Coturnix japonica: one gene and its partners. The protein of the gene in region 4 interacts with the protein of the main gene of each other region in a pairwise test. Links are inferred from orthologs where the notes say so. Each region holds a gene or a part of one and is shown on either strand. Other genes may lie near its edges.

Region 1 (4,965 bases), on a different chromosome or scaffold from region 4:
AGGCTAAGTGAACTGGGTCTGTTTAGCTTTGAGAAAAGAAGACTAAGAGGGGATTTGATCCAGGTCTATAAATATCTGAGGTGTGGGGGGCAAAGTGGTGAGGAGGCCAGACTCTTTTCAGCAGTGTGTGGAGACAGGACAAGGGGAAATGGACATAAGCTGGAACACAGGGAATTCTGCATGAATGTGTGCAAAAACTTCTTTACAGTGAGGGTGATGGAGCACTGGAACAGGCTGCCCAGGGGGGTTGTGGAGTCTCCTTCTCTGGAGATATTCAGGGCCCGCCTGGACACCTACCTGTGCAACCTGGTGTAGGGAACCTGCTTTGGCAGGGGGGTTGGACTGAATGATCTCTGGAGGTCCCTTCCAACCCCTACAATTCTGTGACCTGAATGTGGTTTGTATCACATGAGATAATGTTGATATAATGAGTTAGTGTGGAATAGGAAAGAGAATGACAAGTCATCCAACAAGAACCCCAAATAACATACGGAAAGTAAAACTAACTTTGTTTTCCCACTCAAATTCTGCCCACATCTGTCTGAACTCTGCATCCGTACAAGAGGCTGGCTGGATATAATCCATAATGTCAATGTGAATATCACTGAGAACCACGCAGTTTCTGTCGCTGGCAGCTCCAGAGACATCATACACTGCAATAAGAAATACAAACCACATGAATGCTTAGAAAAGGGACTGTAATAAGTAAGAGTATCCAGTTACCATTTGTCAGCTAACAGCTCAGCCCTGTGTTGATCTCTACCCTTTTCACGTTCTTTTCCCAAGTTGCCACAAAACTCTGAGACAGGTGTATTGGTTTTTCAGGCAATACTGCCTAAGGTCATTTACAGTTCAGAGACTTGGGTTCAATTATCAGGCTGACAACCACTCTGAAGGTAGTGTGCTCCACCAGGATTTTTAATTAAAACACAAATTTTCAGAAAGATCATCATTAAATATTCCTACATTGCAAATAATTTCATTTCCTTTTCCAGTATAAAGTGTATTACTTATTAATTCCTGAGCCCTCTGAGCAGTTAAGAAATACCCCTCACAGTAATCTGCACACACGGCTGTCTACTTACCGATATTGCCAAAAATGATTCCATTTTCTGTTGAGGCAACTTTGACGTTAGCTTTAATGTTTGCAAAGTCATGTGGAGCAAGAGTCAAAGGAGATGGTTTTTCTACAAGCTTCAAGTCACCTGTTTAAATAAATTTGGGAAAGGGCATCAGAGAATGTTACCACTACAAAACAGTTCCACTTTTGGAACATTTACTGCCTTGTGATTCAATTACAGTGCCTACACAGCTGCACTGCATTACTTCGTTAATTTTACATTAAAAACTTCAGTTAAAATACTAGTGTACTCACCCAAAGGATACAGAAAACAAATTGAAACAGTGACTTAAATGGGCTTCAGATTGAGTTTGGTATTAATTTTAACAAGCACAAAACTGTCACTTCTGCCTTGCATTTTAATCACTGCCAACATCATAACACCTAACACTACTGTTCTGTGCCTTAAAAACAAAGTTCAATGTCCGTATTGCATGTACTGAGCTATCTAAGAACAGGTCAAAGTACCATCTTGATTCTGAATCTTATTGCTATTTTCCCTACTCCACTAGGAAGAAATTGTAAGGGACTTCCTAGTTCTATCAATCAGTGCCAGGGCCCAGCAGTTCTCCTTACCCAGTGTGGCCAGCTCCAGTGTGCAGTTCTGCAGCGTATCACTGGTCTGGTTTACCACAAGCACATCCAGCACAATGTCATACTGGTTGACGTGGACATAGGCTTCTGCGTAAACAGGGTCTGAGAAACCCGTCAGCTGTGTAACCTGCAAAGGAAAAGAATTTAAGGTATTTTTCTCATAAGCCATTTCTAATAGGAAATCACAACAAACAATGCCAAAACAATAAACTAGAATTGAATTAACTGCCCTTTGATATGAGCCCTCAAATCAGAGAGAAAAGGTGTGTGAGGAAGCTTAAACTTCACATAACTACCTTCTCAGAAAGAGAAAAAACTAAACACTTCAGCCAAATAACACAAACTTAGTCTAGGAAATATTTAAGCGACATTCTGGAAAACCAAAGTCCATACTTCTTGCATAAGCTTTCCAAAACCAACAAGTTCTGATGACTTATAGCTAAATCGCAGTGATCCTCCGTATTATGTACACAAATGCATTTTTAAACCCATCCTTTGTTCAGCTGTCCCTCTGCACACATACTACAATTTATAAAACCTTTACAGACAGAACATTTTCTGAACTTAATTTATCTAAGATCCCAAAACATTAAATAAAATGCTGCATTATTCTTAAAAAGATTCAAATGAAAAATAGTGACTTCAAATTGAAAGGTAACTTTAAACACTAACAAGAACGTATGCAGACTTTAAGAATAAGAGTCTGTTTTCATAACTGAAGTTCAAGAAGTGTTTGGACGACACCCTCAGAGACAGGGTTTGATTTTGAGGTGCTTCTCTGCAGAGCCAGAGGTTTGGCTCAATGATCTTCATGGGTCCCTTCCAACTTGGTACATTCTGTGGTTTTATGAACCTCTTGGAATGTTCTCTGCTAGTTTTAATAACAAGCAGAAAAAAAAAAGACAAATTGAAATAAGATGCACTACACTTGTCAACAGGATATGGCAGAAAAGGTCCTTCACTTGTGACATCCCTGCTCTTCTCATAGCGAACTTTATTGAGCTCTTCAAAGCACCATACAATTTCAATTCCTTTTCTGCATGCCACCAGCTTAGCACCCTCAGTCTCCATACCACTCTTCTTTCCTCACGATAAGGGAATAATAAAGCACAGTAAAGGTTTTTCTCTCTTTCTTTTCCCCATCAACAAACATATGGGTCTTATTAATCAACCAGCATAGCCTGATTCATTAGTTCCAGTATGCATCTCCCATCGTTGATTCAGCACATAAGCAGAATGAAGAGTATATAACTAAGAGACTGATTACCTTACCTTATTAAGTTTGGATGCAAGAGGATCAGCAGCTTCTTTTCTCTGCGTGTTTCCCATTGCTGCAAGAAGGCTGAGCTGAAACTGGTCTTCTTTTGAGCTCATTTCATTTTTAGCAGTAAGCTGCATGAAGGAAATGGGATCATCCGGCTGGACCGTCACGTTCCTTTTCTCTGACTCTTTCTGCAGAAAAAAAATATCACAGTTAATTCTCTCACTTAGAACAGAACACATAATGACTGAATCAGACATAGTCAAACAGAGACATTTCTAGGACCTGCTTGGATGTGAACAACACTAAAAGAACTCCAAGGGTTTATGACTACACATTCATAATATCTCACCTTCTGGGAAAGCTTCTCTTCTTCCAGCTTGGCTGACAGCATATGAGAGAGGGACTGCCTGCATTCTTTGTTGAAAATATCATTCATGAGTGGAGAACATTCTGACAAAACTTTCAGACACAGGGAAATACGATCCACATCGTCATCTGTAATGGGCTTCTTGGGAAGAGAAGACTTTCCCAAATGGAGAATAGTGGCCATCACCAGCATAGCTTCAGCAATAAAGGACTGAGAAGGAAGACAAAAGAAACTGAATGAAAGGACGTTACTGCATTTTTAAAAAGCCTCAAAGAAATGCCTATTACTGGGGCAAATTCATCAAATTCATAGAAACCTCTGGACATTTTATTTTAAGTCAAGAAACAAAGCACCAAGAATTCAGAGTGTTCTGATTCAGTGGCTGAAAAGCAGCAAGCCCTATTTGTGACCCAAGTTATTATTAAACAGCCCTGTAACTGGCATTTGGCTCAGGACTCAATCCATTTTATATCTGCTTAAAAACCCACTGAACAAAAAGAAAAAAGCAAACTCCACTAACAGACAAAAACACCCAGCCCACCAACCAGCTCTTCTTCACAACTACAGTGAAAGCACAGAGATGACTTACGTTTTGCTTCTTCTTTTCCTGAACTAGTGACACGTATCGTAAAGCAATCTTTGTTAAAGTGGTAGCAAGGGAAGCAGCGACAAAGAAATCCCCATCAAGCAGGAATCCTCGCAACGGAGGCCTAAAAGGACAGACAGTCATCAGAAACCTAGTTCAGAAGATACTTCAAAAACACTACATTGACCACTCAACTCTCCATGACAGAGAACGTCACTTAAAAAAAAACTTTTACTAGGTCTAGTATGAAATCTTAAATACCTGTCCTCCTCCTTTTTGGTGGGCCGGGAACTACTCAGAGCACTCTGGGTTGCATAAGTACCCATCTCTGTCACCAGTTTCTGGACTGGGCCCACGGTCACCTCTTCTTCAGGTTTTAGCTCACCAGCTTCCTTCTTGATTTCAGATTCTACAATTGGGATCTAAACACAAACACATAGATGTTCAGGTACATAGAGAAACCTCCTACAGCTGTGCATAAAGCTCATGACACTGCATACAGTGCTTGCAGAGCTCCCAAGACTTAAAGCACTCTTCATTTTTAGTGCATATAGCTATGGTACTCATATGTTCAAGTTGACACAGTGTTCTGAAACAAGCAATTTTTCACCCACTCTCCTAAATCTGAAGCATTCTAATATTTATTCTCAATACATGCCAGTTTCTACTTAAAAATAATTCAATACTGAATGCAAAATCTACTTTTTGCTTTTGGCTTCTTGCACACACAACATTACAACCGTTCAAAACTCTGTATTGCATTTTAATTGTTTTAAATCCTTTCTTTAGTACAATGTATGTAGTGAGATAAACCACAAAAAGTTAGAATAACAAAATAAACACACCTCTCCAAGTGATCTGCGAACTTCTGTCATTACACTTTGTATATCCTCCTTTGTGCTGCAGTACTCTCCAAGGATCCATAAAGCTCCTCGATAAATCCTAAAATAAGAAGAGGAATTTAACCATGTTTTAATGATAAACTAGCATTAAGGGTAGCTATTCATGGACAAATTCAAAGGGATGTGATGGGC
Region 2 (4,860 bases), on a different chromosome or scaffold from region 4:
GCCTCTTCAGTAAATACTGCACCTTTTTGATCATGAGACCTTCCTGGGATGGGAAAACCTTTTTTGTGCCATCTACTGGAGCAAGTGTTAATGACATGAGTAGCCCCAAAGATGTGGCTGTGAGTGTCCAGCATGTACAGAGACATCAGCCTTGGTAGGATCCCCGCTGGGTTTTGGCAGAAGCTACACTGCTTTTTCTTCCCCAGTCACCGTTGATGTTCTTCTCAGATTTTCTTTGACTTTAATGAATTCTGGTGCATGGTCTTCCTGCTTCTCCTGCTCTTTCTCCAGCTGTAATAAAGAAAAGTCATTGTTATCTGTACATTCTAAAGAACAAAAGTGCATTATGTACCTTAAAACCCCTCAGCCACCCATCTCCAGGGTAGTTAGAACAACATGGGGGTGGCTGACAGCCTGATCCTACCTGATCCAGCCGCTGGTGCCTCTTCAGTAGCTCTTTTTCAAAGGGAGACTGCAACTTCTTGGCCTCTTCCTCTTCCTTCTTCTGCCTGAGGACCTGGTTTCGCCGTCGGTGTTCAAGCACCCTCTGCAACTCTGGCTTGCTGTCTACACTCAAGCCTCTGTGGACCAAAAGCAGTCAAATGAAGAGTTGCTCATTCACCTTCCCCCTGCCTGCCTGGCAGCCCCCAGAGCCTCCATCCCAAATGCTGCCACACTGATGTACTGTGCCTTTCTGTGCAGAAAGGGAAATGTGCTGTCCTACAGTGACAGCTCAAGCGGCACTGAGGGAGTTTATAATAATGAAGATTTTTTTCCACCAGCAGGGGTAGTCATTGAACTGCAGTAATTGTCCTGGCAGTTCGGCTTGCTCCAGAGCTGAGGGCTTGCGATCCCTGCTGTGCCTCAGTTTAAGCACTAATGTTTATCTCCTGCAGCTGACCCCAGCCACCTGCCTATCCTCTTCTACCCCCTAAATACATGTATGTGGCTGTGCACGTCAACAAACCTTTGCTGACTTCTGGGCAGACATCATTGCAGCCACAGTTTTGTGTTGCTGAACAAGTTATGAAGCAGAGATCAAGGCAGCTTTCAAATAGGTTACCTTCTAATAGCAATTGGAACTTAAGTAATTTTGGAAGAAGTCACAGAAGTAGTTGGCTGAAGTCATGTTTTTGAGGAGCTGAAGGTCGCATAGCTGCCACCAGAGCCTGACCTCACCTGCTGGGGGTTGAACATTCACTGCAGTCAGCAGGCTGAGGGTATTGGAAATCCCAGGGAAATATTTGGAGGAGAGGTGTTGTAACATGAGTGTTTCTGTGGCAGACAGGCCCTGGGCTTGACAGAAGGTAAAGCCTGCTGTGGCTTGCTGGAGACACAGAGTTTGCAGTGTTGCCTTTGAATTTGTTACTGCTCCTGGATTTAATCAGCCTGCCTTGTTAGTGCCCAGAGGTGTTGACTAAGATAAAGTTTTCTTGCACAAGCTGCTGATGTGAATTGCTTCCTGCTTCTGCCTAAGGGAGAAGGCAGAAATGGAAGCAAGCACAGATCCTCCTCCCTCCTCCCTTCAGTATGAACATGCAGCAAACAGCAAAGCTGCCGGATTTGCTGGTGACTTAGGGTTGCATACAGATGCTGTTCCTCCTTTCCTCTGGGAGCACTGTACCAACTTGCTGGCTGCCCTAAACCTGCTCAGGAGATGATAGCATTGATTGTGCCAGGAGATCCTGGCCAGTGAGGCTTTAACCAGGCCGTGTCAGAGTGTTTTAGGAATATCTGCCTGGTTCAGATGATTGCGTCAGTGCTGGAGACTGGCCTGGGCACAGTCCTTGTAATTCTCCTGCTTCTGGGCAGTGCCAGTACTGAGCAATGAACCCTGCTGGCAGGGTTGTTGTTGGCTGAATTAACCCTTGTGCCTGACCCTCACGATGAGCACAGTTGTTTTGAGCAGAGGCTCTGCTCCTTTTTGATTAGAGATCAAAGTGTGGCCGTGTCAAAGTGTTTTTTTAAGGCATTTTGAAAATGTTTGAAAATAATCTGTTGCATCAGAGAAGAGTGGTGGGTTGTACCCCATGTCTGTGTGCAAGTGGCAGGGTTTATCCCTCCCTCCAACCACAGCTGGTGGTGGTGCTGGTGCCGGGCTCCACACTGCTGTGACCTCTCCTCACCTCTTGTGGTTCATCAGCAGCTCTCGGTGCAGCTCCTGGTGGCTCTTGGAGGCTTTGACGGGGTTGAGGAGCTTTTTAGGTTTGATCAAGTCTGGGTTCCCATCTATGTAGTCCGGCTGACTCAGGATGCTCCTGCTGTCACAGTGCTCCTGCTGTATTTCTGTGTACATTGATGCTGGAAGACAAGAGAGGAGTTGGTGGGTGGGGTGCACCAGAGGAAGCCCACCTGTGCTCTGCTCCCTGGGTGAGAGCAGTTGCTTGGTGCACCTTTAGAAAATATTCCTTTTGGAGAGACACGTATTAATTAGATCACTTCTGAGTGACTTGCCAGCCACTTGCTTCAGTGGCTGCAGCGGTTGGTGCCAAGGACTAATTAACATTAGTTAGATGAGCCATTGCTAACAGCAGGAGCAGGGCTGGAGCTGCAGGACTTGGGGGTCCTGGGAAGTGCTGCTGTGGCTGACACCTCTCATCAGCATTAGGTTTTGCTGATGTTCTGCTGCCCTAAAAGTCAGGATTCATCCCAATACTGAGGAAAGCATAATTCACACTTGCAGCCCAGGATCACGCTGTAATAATTTGTGTGTTCTGCATGTAAGAACAAGGGCCCACTCTTTTCTAAGCCGTGGTGTGTTGGATTTCAGGCAGACTGCAGGGCAGGCTCAATGCTGCCATTCCCAAGTGCTCTACATCTCACCTTTGCAAAAAACCCCACACAAAAGGAGTGCAAAGCACGGATTTTAAGACAAGACTGCATGCTGTGGGCTGCACTTTAAGTGCAGAGTGCAGTTGTGCTGGCTGCAATTATGCCAGGGCATGGCCTCATCAGGGACTGGGAAGAGCCATTCATTCCTAAGGACTCACTCAATGAATTTGGGAGTTCAGTGGCAAGAACAAAAAGTACCAAAAAAAGTGTGTAGGCAGCTCCAAGTGCTCTGTTATTACAGTATTTTGGGGTACCTAATGGGAAGGCTTGCGGGTTGATGGAGCAGCAAGGAAAACAGCTTTTGTTCAGTAATGCTGTCTCCCTCTCTTATCGCAGTCTCATGTACAAAAGGAATAAAATCCTTTTAAAAGAGAAATCAATAAAATGAAAAGGAAAAAAAAAAAGCAAGTGAAAGCAGGCGAGGTCATTCTTTCTTAGGCAGTAAGTACTGTGCGAATGTAAAGTGGATTGCAATCAAACAGAATTGTGTAAGAAATCATACTGCTGAAGAAATGATTCAGTATCAAACAACTTCTCATTGAATGTTAATGTGGGCAGTGCCCTGCTGCTCTGGGAACAAAGGAAAACAGATTGGAGCCCGTTAAGAGTGTAATTGGGGTGAATAGTTCGGTACATATTCAAAGGGCGTGGGGAAGCTGGAAGCAGAGGCTTCCTGTACCAGGTTGTTTTCTTCCAGGGTGGCAGGTGCTGTTGGTGGGTGAAGGAGCTGATAGCTGAAGCTGTGCCTTGCCCTGCCAGTGGGGAGCGTGGGGGTGAAGGCAGCATGGTTTGATGGCTGATTGCTGCTCAATGAAAGCTGGCTTTGGAACATTGGAAAGTGAATCAGATGTTCACTGGGGTAACACTGCTGGAGTCCCTAATTCTACTTTGTCCCTTTTCTGGGGGTCTTGTTTTCTGTGGGGAGAGAGGTGAGCAAAAGGCAAGAAAAGAAGGTTCAAAAGCAAAGGGTTGTTTTGGTGTCAGTGAAATGGGTGAGCTCCCCTTTCCCTTGGCAAAGCAGTAGCTTTATTCTGCAAACAAAACAAAGAACTTCAAAGAGTGCTGGGTGTTTTCAATGGGAGCACTGCTGGCTGGCTGTGCTACAGGAGGTGATCTGGGAAGGAACCACAAACCTCTCGACAGGAACCCCACTTTAAATCTTCACAAGATGTTCGTGTGGAGCAATTCAAGGAATGTCTGCATTTGCATTGAGGGTAAAAAGAAAAATGAGGCCCGGAGCACTGCTTGGGGTTATGCTGGGAGTAAGGACGGGGCATCCTTTCTGCTACAGGCTGGCAGAGAGGGACCCTGGGCAAAGTGCTTCTCTCGCAGTAGATCTGTCATCTTCAAGACACAGTCTAATTCATGCCCATGTATAGGGAGACAGACTGCTATCAGGCTGCATTTTGTCATTATTTATAGTGCCGGCAGTGTAAATCAGGGCAGGTCTCTGCGGAGGATTTACAGCAGGATGTCTGGTTTTGCATGATTCGACCATAGATCAATGAACAAACGTCAGCTCCGGCACCTCCTGGGCCACCGCCATAAATCAGCCATAGGTGCCAGGCAGTTTTATATTGTTCTTGGCAAGATATAAACAAAAAAATGCATGTGCATTCTGACACCCTCAGCTGTGCTCAGAAAGACAGTGTGACCTTTCAGACAGATCTGCTTTGGACTGTTGCTTTTCAAAAGTAGCCGTGTTTGCTTCAACACATTCAGCCTTTTGCTCGCTCTTAAATATTTTCCCTTTCCGTGTTTCTAGAAGCCTGAGGCTCTCTAGGAAAGCTACATTTCCGTTTGATTTCTGTGTGCACACAGAGCAGGAGTGCCTGGACTGGGGGGCTGAGGCTGCTGGTGGGTATTGGGATGAGCTCCCTGCCTTCCTCTGCCCCATGGGAAACCCCTCTGAAGGGTCTCAGCTCTCAGGGGTGCTGGAGACCTACTGCCCCCGCCTTGGCACAGGGCTGCCTAAAGGAGAAAAATGACTTTTTAATAGCTTGGTCTGCTCTGACTTCAAGCAAAGCT
Region 3 (5,755 bases), on a different chromosome or scaffold from region 4:
TGGATTTTCAAATCTCAAAATAAATCTATTACAATTAGAAAATTATCAATGCCTCTTAATATTTTGGATGCTGAAAGGGGGTTGCTAATACCTGTGACTGGAAAGCTTGTGTAGAAAGAATCATAGTGCATTAGTTCTGTTCTTGTCCTCACTTTGGATCTCAACAGATAACAGTTCTTGGCATGCTGTTACACAAGGGAGGAAAATACACAACTCTTAACAAGATATAAACAAGCATGATCAGCTTATGATACAACTGCAGTAAGCAATGGTGTTTGTCATGGAAGCTGAGCTATCTCAGAAGAGAGAGGAGCTCTGGTTTGGGGATGGCACAACACAACAGGGTTCATAGAAAACTCCACCAAGCCTCGGTTTCAGACAGCTGCAAGGGAAGGTAATGCAGGGTACTCTTAAGGTAAAGATGTCAGGCTGTGTGGTGAAGTCCACTGCTATCAGCAACACCTAACACAGCTTTTCAGATATGGGAGGAGAAATGTTTTATAAGTGAACACTTGACACTTCAATACATTTCTGTTACTCTGAAGTTCAGACCAAAGTTAAAAGGATGACACATGGAGATGCATGTGCAGTAAAAGTAATATATATAGCTTATGTCATCTTGCGATCTTGAGCTAAGAAGAATGGAACAACTCTATAGGAGAAAGCCTTAGGGATGCTGGATACCACAACTGAATGTGCACTGTTACAGCAGATATTCTGTACTGCTACATGACAAATTCCCCTGTCAACCTGCTTCAATAAATAAGCACTTCTCTAAATTGTCCTGCGGATGATGGAGGAGAAGAAAACGCTGAACAGATCAATAGTGGAATTAGAAATAAAAAATTCACCGACTGGGTATTTTGCTTCAGACCTGACAATGAAAATAGTCCTGAGCTGATTCATTCCAAATAAAGCTCTAAATACTGTGAGATTTATATTTCACTCCGAGCAGATTAATATTCTTAAAATACACACACAAAAAAACAACACATCTGTAGGTGTTCCTTGGGGCAAAGAAAATATTCCTTCACTCTATTTTAGTGTGTGAAGGCAAGCATTTCTCATGCCGTGCTGTCAGTGAACTCTCAGCTACCAGTAGCAAGAAAAAAACATCTCTTTATTGCCCTAATAATTAAAGCAAAGATTTGTCTTTATTGTTGCAGTTGTCACTATTGTTCTAATTATCTGCTGTAAGCTGAATGCCTGCTTTCTGTTAGCTATAGCTCACGCTCCCACACAGCTTCATCCATAATTTCAGCTAATGGAAGAGCTGCCTGAAATCTATTGTGAGGAGATATTTGTTGGCTTGGTTGCACCCTTCTTCATCAATTACAAGCACTCCCAGAAGATGCAATCTCTTATTGACTTTTAATTAGTTCCTCACGACAGCAGGATTTATGGGCTTTTTTTCCCCTTGCATCCAGTTTTATTACGGGAGCTCTGCAATAGTTATAGATTCCGCAATGATCAAAAAACTGATGGAAATGCTACTAGGCCAAAATCAAACTAATAGAATGACAATAGAGCTGATTTCATCTGAGTAGCATTAACCTTAATGGAAACATAGAAAATCGATGTGAAAGGCCAAAGGAGGAATTACTTATACATCTGTCAAGCCAAACTTAATCATTTTAAGAGGCTTCAGTCAGAGAAGGATCTGAGCACAGGAATACCAACAGGAAGACATGGGTGTGAGCTGAGGTAGGTCTTCATAGAAAGATAAAATCTAATACTGCAAATTCATGACGTGAGCTCACCCTCCTAGGAGCAATTTGAGGTGATTTAATTCACATTACAAGGGGAAATTAACAATTGAAAGAGACTAAAACAGAACGCTCGCCTACCATCAGGGCTCTCAGTCTCCACAGCATCACTGTGGAGAAACAACCCGCAGCCAAGATGGCGCCCGCGCCTCCAGCACTAAAGATGGCGCCGACGCAACGAGCGACGTGACGGCGCGCATGAGCGAGGAGGGCGGAGCGGGGTTGGAGTTTTGGCGGGTGCTTGGAAGGCGGGAGGCGGTGAGTGGGACTGTGAGGAGAGCGGGTCTGTGTGTGAGGGGAGATGGGGGCCGTGTGTGAGGGGAGATGGGGGCCGTGTGTGAGGGGAGATCGGGGCCGTGTGTGTGAGGAGAGCGGGGCTGTGAGGAGAGTCGGGCTTTCTGTGAGGGGAGAGTCGGGCTTTCTGTGAGGGGAGATGGGGGCCGTGTGTGAGGGGAGAGCGGCCGAGCCTTAGAGGGATCAGGGTTGAAAGGGAAGGAGGTTAATGGGATCGCGGGTACGAATGGAGAGGATCCCTTGAATGTGGAGATCGGGCTGAATGAAGAGGGAATCCTTTGGTGGAAGAAGGAAGGAGGGATCCCAGGATGGGGGGCTGGGATCGGCCTGTGGTGAGGATTTATTCTCCATGTTGTGCCCTTGTGCTGCATTTGGCTCTGATCAAGGCAGGCTGCGCGTGTGGGAATAGGTTTGTGGATTAAAGTTCTTGTGGGCAGCTGTGGATGGAGAGTGTAGTGATCTACTGAGGGTGCTGGCCTCCGTTTGTAGGTGATCTCCATTCCAATGGTATCCATTTGTTCTGTGACAGAGTCTGTTTTGCCTCGGGGGGCTGTGGAAGGAATCGTGGTGAGATCATGGATGGTAAGGGATAAAAGCACTGCCCTACTTTCAGTAGGGAAGCTTTCTGACCAAGTGCAGAGAGCTCCATTAGCCTCTTAACAAAGGAAATCATATTGTGCTCCCTTTGGCTGTGTCTGTTGCCTTCATCACCCTCATCCTCTTGTGAGGCTGCATTTGAGTCTTCCTCAGGGCCAAAGGCTGAATACCTTTCTCATGTTGCTCTATGTATGTATCTCCGCTCTGTCTGTCCTGTTCCTCTCCCTGTTTTTAGAATCATCAAATCTTTTCAGTTGGAAGGGACCTTTAAAGGTCATTTAATCCAACTCCCCTGCAATGAACAGGGATATGCACAGCTTGATCAGGTTGCCCAGGGCCTGATCCATCCTTGTCTTGAAAGTCTTCAGGGATGGGGCATCTAATACATCTCTGGGCAGCTTGTTCCAGTGCCACACCACCCTCACTGTAAAAGACAAGGAAAAAATCCAACCTACATCTACTCTCTTCAAGCTTTTTGACCTTTTGCTTCATGTTTCTCTGCTGCTCTGTTCACTTTCTTGAGCAAAAAGCGTATTCAAGACAGTGACTTGAATGTTTGATTCTGTAGCAGCTTTCCTCTAAAAGGATAGAAGTAAAACCGAGTTTAATTTCTACTTCAGGTGATGAAGATTTGGATCTGTTGGTCTCCCTCCTGGCGGAAAATGAGGGAGCTGAAGAGGGGAATTCTCCTGAGGAGGAAGATACCTCGAAGACTGAGAAGGGAGAACCAGATGAGTATGATGAGCTCTTTGATGCAGAAGATGATGCATCATACACTGAGGAGGTGGACGCTGACAACAGCATAATTGATGAGGAGAAGGAGAACCTGGCTGAGCTGTTTGGAGATGTGGATGACCTGCTGGAAGAAGAGGAGGCAGAAAACACTGTCACAGCTTCAGTTCCCAATCAGGGGGAAGAGAAAACCAATGAAGAATTACAAGGTTTCTATTACAGCATCTTTTAAATGGTCTTGTGTTCACTAGAGAAGATACACGCAACATGTCAAGGAATATAGCACAAAAAAGTTAAATATTGATATAAGTCAGCTCTAGGCTGCATGGAAAGCTGTCCCTTCCCTGTGAGCCATGTAGAATCAGAGCTAAATCTATCCTGTAGCTCTAGTCTTTTTGTTCCTAATCTGTGATGTAGTAATACTGCCAGGCTCCCCAGGATTTTGTTAATCCCTGTTTACTGTGGCTTTTACTGCTGTCCTCATTATTGTCCTTTTTCTTCTTTCTTAGCTGAGCTGAGAAAACTACAAGAGCAGATGAAGATGTTGCAGGAGCAGCTGCAGAAGACGGCCATTGGGCAGCAGTCCAGTTCAGGCCCTGGGCAGAAAGCCTCTGGTAACAAGACTAATTAAATGAGTTTCTGATTTGTTAACTTCCCAATGTGTAAATTATAGGCAGATGATAATCTGAAGTGGGAACTGAGTAGCAAAAAGGAATGATGGTCTGTTATATTCCTGTACAGGTTGTTTCTTTCAGTACAGACTAAATGGTTTTGTTATTGGCATCATGGATTGATTGAAATGGGGCAACTTCTATGACTGTGGTGCTCCAGTGTTCTGCTGGAAAAGGTTCTTTCTTAGTAGCAGATGCTGGTGCACTCAAATGTTGCTACACCCAGAAAATACAGCCGTGTTCGTTGCTGATGCACATTTAGTGTAGTAATAATGAAACAGGGAAACTGAAAAGCAAAGACATGTTCCTACTTTCTACAGCTTTCTGGCTTCAGTGACATCAAGAGTTTAAGGTCAGAAGGAGTAAGAATCATTGGGGCTTTCCCAGATGTTGCATGTCACATGCTGGCAATTAAGAGTTTCCATGTGGGACCCTGACTTGGATTTATTTGAACAATTACTCAGTTTGGAGTAATGTTTAGTATGTGAGACTGGATCCTGAGATCTCATAAGTGCTTTTGTTTTCCTGGCTAGGTAAATCTCTCTGTCCACCCTTAAAGGAAAGGAAAGCTCAGAAGCTGCAGGAGTCACCGTGTTTCTCAGCCCAGCTGGACAATCCTTTACCAGCAGCCAAGAAAGGAAACCAGAAATCAAAAGCCTCCCCAGCAGGTATGGTTCTTAGTGAGCCTTCACTGAGACACACTGGGCTTTGCTGAAAGCCTACATAGTTCACAGCAGCAGCATGGACACATCCAGGGCAGTATTTATATTAACCAGTTCTGAGCTGACTTTGAGATCAGTACAATATTAAGACAGTTATAGACATTTTATTCCTCGCTTGTGCTGGACCCCTGTGTCCAGTCAAGTGTAAGTGAATGTTATGTTGAGTTATAGGTTTTCTTTATCAAGATTTTATTTTATTTTATTTCCTGCTAAAGAGACCAAGACTCCTCCACCACGACAAGTCCTCAGTCTGGCATTTCAGCCCCTCACATCTGCCCCGGGGAACACACCCAATAAGGTGCCCAGAGAGAAGACTCCTCACGTGTCAACATGCTCCAGTACAACACAGCAACCCGTATCTGTGGAAACCTTCTCAGGACTGAGATTGAGGTCAGCAGCCCAGCACTGACCCCTGCATGGGGAGGCTGTGCTCAAGTGGTGGGACTGAATGCACTGTGATGTGTTAACTGCACAAGTGGTGAGCAGAGGACTGTGGTTAACACAAAGCCACAGCATTGCCTGCTTGCTTATTAAAATCTGTAATTAAATAAATCTGTCATTTTATTATCGCTGCCTTCCCTGACGTATCCTCAACAATGGGCACAAACAAGGTCTCATTGGGCCCCAACTGAGGAGATTTGGTTTCACAGGTGGAAACCTCGGGGAGCATTCAGAATTCCCATACTCCCCATGGCCACGAGAGGTCTCTGAACACTCACTGTGCCCTCCTCACCAGAAATCATGCTGGATTTCTAGCATGTTTCCAGTGAGTTGTGATACTCAGTCCTTCCTGAAGTGAGAAGCGTTACTGAAGGCTCAGAGCTAAGTTGCAGTGCAGCTATTTGGACAAAGAACAACATGTTTGATTTGTAGCTCTCCGATGTTTGTACAGCATTTGGAACAGAGGGGTTTTGTTTCAAGTGAGCTCAGGGTGAAATAAGGCACAAAGGCATTTTGCAGTGAAATACGTTCT
Region 4 (4,965 bases):
TGACTGCTTTCAGAACATAAATCCATGAAATAATACTGATATTTGTTACACTTCTTAGAATGCTTTTATGCCTCATCTACATGAACTTTCCAACTCTTGTCATTTAAATGCATGCTATTTCCTCATAACTCTTCCTTAGGTACCAGCCATGGCTACACCAGTGCAAGTGGAAGACCTTCAAGGCGAGGAGGAAGCGCCCTGGGCTCAGCAGCTAGCAGCAGTTTACTTGATATTGATCCCTTGATTTTAATCCACCTGTTGGATCTGAAAGACAGAAATGGTATGGAGAACCTCTGGGGCCTCCAGCCACGTCCACCTGCCTCTCTTCTACAGAACAGAGGTAACTGTACATCAGATCTCAATTTCATTCCAAACTGGAAGTGTCTCTTGAGAATGCAGTGCCAGAGTTAGAAGTAGGTTTGTGGACAGGGAAAAAGAGAATGAAGGGCCGTTGTTTTCCCTGATAGCTAAACTTTCATATCCTCATCTGTGCTCATCAGTATGCTGCATCTTAACACGTTCTTTGTCTTGATGGGTGACCTCAGCATGAGAACGCTGTATGACTCAACTGAAAACAGAAGTGTTTATCAGGGAGTATTGTCTTGTCTTGTCTTGGGGGATGTGACTGATCTGGCTGGCTGTTTTGTGTAGTAACATTGTAGTGATGCATTTCATGCAGTTCATTTCAAAGCCGCTGTGGGAGATGAATGAAAGGCCCTCTTATAGAAGGGGTTAGCACTGGAAGACGAAACAACTCAAAACAGCTATCTGCTGAGAAACGCAGTTACAGCTCTTGCTTCACACAGTTTGTACGTTTAGTGGTTGAGAGTACTGGGATGGGAGCACAGTATGTGAATGAGGAGGTAAATCCTGGAATCTACTTCTATATGAGAAAGGCACTTTGAACTGGAAAACTGTAAAAAGCAATTGGGGGGCAAAAGAGACATAAGCTCAAGCAGGAGAATGATGAAAACCAACAGCTCAAATTGAGAAGATGCTGCATTTTGGGCTGTAATACTTAGGCAAGATCAGGCTCATCTTTTGTATTTAATGGGTTCTTGATCATCTTAAGCTACTGGCTGCAGCTGGAGTTACCCGCTGCTGAGGTACATGTATGGTTTGGCTGTTCCCAAGTCTTATACAAGTCATGCAAATAAGAGAAAGCTGCTGTTACATTTGGAGTTTGCTGAGCCTCACTTTTTAAGTTGAAGGTTTTTAAAAACTCTGAAGAGCTGAATTTGCAATAAAACAGTTATAGAACTTACAGCACTTCAAACAGACATCAAAGCTGATCGATTTCTGTGTAAGCAGCATGCAGATTTTCTCAGGTATTGGCTCTTTGGCACAATTTTATGTACTTAAGGGAATTTCTCCCCTAGTTCCAGATTTCTTTGATTTTTATGTGGTAATGTGAGGTGGTGGTGGGATGGGAATCTTAGACGAGCTCTTAACACGCTTTATAGAAAACACGTAACAAATTTGACATTTTAACTGGCAGCCGGGCTCATGAACTCAAGCTTATCTGGCAGTATAAGGGAGCTCAGCTATCATCAGAATTTATGCCATGGTATCAGAGCTCCTGCTCTTTTTAAAGAGCAAGGTCTATGCCCTTCCTCAGGCAGATAGAAATCTGTTGTCCCTTGGTTGTGTAATACCAGCATCCTAAATTAAAGTGCTGTAGGAGTATGAAAGAAAGCATCTTATCCCTTGTATTTACAGCAGGGCAAAAGGTAGAATTCTTACGGCTATTAAAAATAACGTCCATTTTTATCTGAGGACAGTTTTACTTACCTGTTGTTCTTCAACTCTTCTCTTTGGTAAAGCATCATCGTACTCCTTAAAGGATCGAGACCTGCGGAGGCACCAGGCGATGTGGCGTGTGCCGCCTGACTTGAAGATGCTGAAGAGACTTAAAACTCAGATGGCTGAAGTACGAAGCAAAATGTCTGATGTAAAAAACCAACTCTCAGAAGTAAGGAGCAGCAATGCTGGCTCATGCGATGGGCAGCCCAACTTCTTCTCCATTGAGCAAGGTGCTTTAGCTGCCTGTGGAACAGACAGCTGCAGCAAGCTGCAAGAAATAGGAATGGAGCTGCTGACCAAGTCTTCAGTGACCAGTTGTTACATAAGGAGTTGTAAGTACTCACGGAGGGAGTTGGGACATGGATGCTCTGTGAAATAGGAGCAATCTTATGACTTGCATTGAAACATGGTGACAGCAGAACTTGGTATTTTGCTGTTCCAGTTATCACTCCTCCATTCCTACACTTAGATAAGTTCCTGCAGCACTGCCACAAGCTCAGAGAACAGTGAATCTGAGAAGTCACAAACAGCAGAGGTGAAACAGAGGTGATTTTAGTTCGCCTTCTTACCTTCCAGCTTGGGGGCTGGAAGCTCCCAACTTACTTAAGCTTTTCTCTGTCCTATGTCTTTTGACAGGAAGGGTGGAGGAGTTGTGTGCACGATGGGTAGTTAAGCTCCATGTTAGTCTCATTGGTCATTAACTTCCTTAAAATGAGCACAGAATGCTGCAGGCAATCTGGTTAAATACTTCTACTGTGTTTGCAGCTGCGGGTAAGAAGAGTAACTCACCCAAACCTATTCGCTCTGGAGCAGCAGGGAGTCTGTCTCTACGAAGAGCTATGGACTGTGGGGATAATCTTCGGTTAAAGGGGGACGGGCAAACTTGTGAAGGTAAGCAAGGTCCTCTGTACTGTGAGGTGTGTTGTATCTGTTGTACAGAAGTGGATGTTGTAACTGAAGTTTGCCTGAAACTCTGCTCGATCTGTTTGCAAGCCTAATTAATGCTGCTGTACCAGCACAGAGCTCTGATAGTGGTCTGCTGTGGGTGCTGCTGTGCCTGAGTGCAGCCTCATCCACAACATGAGTGGCTGCTTTGCTGCTGCCAAACAATCTTGCATCTGTAGCTGGGAAAAATAGTGAAGAGAGTGTCTGTGTTACTAGAAAGTGAACTTTAACTGCATGAGATGGGGAAACAGAGACTGTGTGTGTGGTCAGAGCATGCACAGACGGTACGTGCATCTTGTGCGATGCTTAGAAAGCATAAGGTTGGAGTGGAGGATGTGCTTGTACACGTCTGGAAATGCACCAGTGATATAAAATGACTGGATTTATTCTTTTTAAAGTGTGCTGTGCTTTGAGCATTTCTCCTTCTTTTTTCAGGTGGAGTTGGGAGTTCAAAGTCAAGCAGTCGCCATCACTGTCCCAGGCCCCTGGTCAGCAGTAATGCTTCCGAGGCACTGCCTAAGCCAGAGGAAAGGCCTTGTGAAGGGTCAGATTCTGATGTGGGAGCTTCTGGCTTAAATGCTGCTGTGGAGAAGACCAGAAAAGCTGGTGCTCTGGGGTAAGGAATTGTGTGTTCCCTCCTTCATCTTGTCCTTTCTTTTCTCCTTTCCCTTGATCTGTGAGGAAAAAAATACGAATCTGCTGAAATGAGGTGCTTGTAACACAGAAGAGGAATTACTTCCAAGCCTAATTGGTGGCTGTGTTTCCATATGGGTATCAATTTTTGGCTCAGTAACCTGAGCACAAGTTGTACTTTTCTTCTCTTTCATTCTGATCAGCCGTTGATGTAGTCTGCTGCTTTGATTTGCAAGGTGGGCACCGTCTCCTGTCCCTCTGTTCCTTGCCATAATATCATCTCTCTGAAGGTTTCCACTTCAGGTTTCTTCAGAGAAAATTCTTCACTGTGACTTTCTCAGCAGTTTCATAATAACTGTTGTGTAACTAAGCCGAGTGCAATGGAGTACTTACATTTTATTCTACGTAACAACAGGGGAAAAAAAATCACTTTTTTAATACATTTTCACCTTAAACCTTGAGGGGTTTTTTGAAATTCTTAAGTACTTTGAAATTAGTCAGAGCTGGAAGTGGATACAACTTGATGAGTTGAACAAGATGTGTGGCACCGAAAGGAGCTGTTTGGTTTTTTATCCAGAGCTGTATGAAAGCCAGGTTCCTAATGTGGATTTCTGTCTGTCTCCTGAATTCTTTCAGATCAAATTCTAAAGGATATCGCACGGAGGGGACGCAGTTGGGTAGTTTGGATGAAGGCTCTGAACCTGGTGAGCTGCAGGGTGTGCTTCCTGAGGGTGCTTCAGCAGGACCAGAGGAAGGTAACCTGGATGTTGTGAAGGGTGGATGCGGTGCTACAATGCTTCCGATCTGTGATCATTTATTTCTGTAATGGAAGTAGCTTGAAGGGGAAAGGAGGAAAAAACAGCAGCTGTTTCCGTGGCTGCTGAACTTTGCTGTAGCGTTTAGCAACTGTGGTATAAATCTAAATGAGAGGGGAGTATCTCTTGCCACTGCTGTCCATGAATAGTGATATTACGTTACAGCATGAATGTAAAGATCTAGCAGATATTGTGACAAGGTGCCTTCTGCTTCTCTGGACCTGCCTCTTTACCTCTCAATGTACCTCATGGTCTCTTGCTGTGCTGGTTTTTATCATGACCTTGAAAATAACAACTTATCTAGTTAAACCAGTGGTCAGTGACCTTGGCTTTAAAGTCTCCTGCTTTCAGGGACACACCACAGTGGTAACTACCTCCACATTTGCACTGGAATCCCTCCTTCAGCAGCCCAACTGTACTGGGTGTTGTGGTACATAATCTGGTTTCCTTAGAGACCCAGAGGAAACTTTTCCCCCACTCCCTTCCTGCATCTTTTCCATGCTGGAAAAAAGTATTATTGGCATTCTTTTTGAAAGTCCACGTAGAAGAGTTTTTTTTTCTCATCTTGCTAAAACTCTCCTGCCTTCCACCCCTGCACTAATTTGAATTTCAATGACTGAATTGTAGCACAAAGCCTATATTAAGGTGCCAGCATCCATCTCTATCTGCAGTGTGCAATATTGTGTGGGAGTTGGCATTTGCAGAAGGTCTCTCAGTGACAAAACTGAATTTCTGCTCTTAGTCACTGCAGCGTGATCACGATGTGCTC

What was found.
Region 1: the proteins of TRIM37 (region 4) and COPB1 interact in binary tests that used the Homo sapiens proteins (3 or more experiments, as listed by UniProt). The two-hybrid records come from large-scale screens. The link is inferred for Coturnix japonica from reciprocal best matches to the Homo sapiens genes TRIM37 and COPB1.
Region 2: the proteins of TRIM37 (region 4) and FAM107A interact in binary tests that used the Homo sapiens proteins (3 or more experiments, as listed by UniProt). The two-hybrid records come from large-scale screens. The link is inferred for Coturnix japonica from reciprocal best matches to the Homo sapiens genes TRIM37 and FAM107A.
Region 3: the proteins of TRIM37 (region 4) and MCM10 interact in a two-hybrid assay, tested with the Homo sapiens proteins (2 studies listed by BioGRID and IntAct). The link is inferred for Coturnix japonica from reciprocal best matches to the Homo sapiens genes TRIM37 and MCM10.

Annotation. Positions count from the first base shown.
Region 1 is NC_029520.1:14,566,303-14,571,267, forward strand, and holds part of COPB1 (coatomer subunit beta), read right to left. Parts: intron 4,874-4,965; coding exon 4,777-4,873; intron 4,354-4,776; coding exon 4,193-4,353; intron 4,056-4,192; coding exon 3,935-4,055; intron 3,556-3,934; coding exon 3,328-3,555; intron 3,167-3,327; coding exon 2,987-3,166; intron 1,842-2,986; coding exon 1,697-1,841; intron 1,206-1,696; coding exon 1,086-1,205; intron 654-1,085; coding exon 508-653; intron 1-507. UniProt on the Homo sapiens protein: The coatomer is a cytosolic protein complex that binds to dilysine motifs and reversibly associates with Golgi non-clathrin-coated vesicles, which further mediate biosynthetic protein transport from the ER, via the Golgi up to the trans Golgi network.
Region 2 is NC_029527.1:9,364,771-9,369,630, forward strand, and holds part of FAM107A (actin-associated protein FAM107A), read right to left. Parts: intron 2,302-4,860; coding exon 2,127-2,301; intron 582-2,126; coding exon 425-581; intron 292-424; coding exon 184-291; 3' UTR 1-183. UniProt on the Homo sapiens protein: Stress-inducible actin-binding protein that plays a role in synaptic and cognitive functions by modulating actin filamentous (F-actin) dynamics. Mediates polymerization of globular actin to F-actin. Also binds to, stabilizes and bundles F-actin.
Region 3 is NC_029516.1:5,990,996-5,996,750, forward strand, and holds the start of MCM10 (protein MCM10 homolog), read left to right. Parts: upstream 1-1,918; 5' UTR 1,919-1,964; coding exon 1,965-2,028; intron 2,029-2,219; exon of another isoform or gene 2,220-2,392; intron 2,393-2,589; exon of another isoform or gene 2,590-2,591; coding exon 2,592-2,642; intron 2,643-3,277; coding exon 3,278-3,598; intron 3,599-3,898; coding exon 3,899-4,003; intron 4,004-4,593; coding exon 4,594-4,728; intron 4,729-4,997; coding exon 4,998-5,172; intron 5,173-5,755. UniProt on the Homo sapiens protein: Acts as a replication initiation factor that brings together the MCM2-7 helicase and the DNA polymerase alpha/primase complex in order to initiate DNA replication. Additionally, plays a role in preventing DNA damage during replication.
Region 4 is NC_029534.1:5,928,535-5,933,499, reverse strand, and holds part of TRIM37 (E3 ubiquitin-protein ligase TRIM37), read left to right. Parts: intron 1-139; coding exon 140-340; intron 341-1,823; coding exon 1,824-2,135; intron 2,136-2,568; coding exon 2,569-2,694; intron 2,695-3,183; coding exon 3,184-3,364; intron 3,365-4,017; coding exon 4,018-4,136; intron 4,137-4,965. UniProt on the Homo sapiens protein: E3 ubiquitin-protein ligase required to prevent centriole reduplication. Probably acts by ubiquitinating positive regulators of centriole reduplication.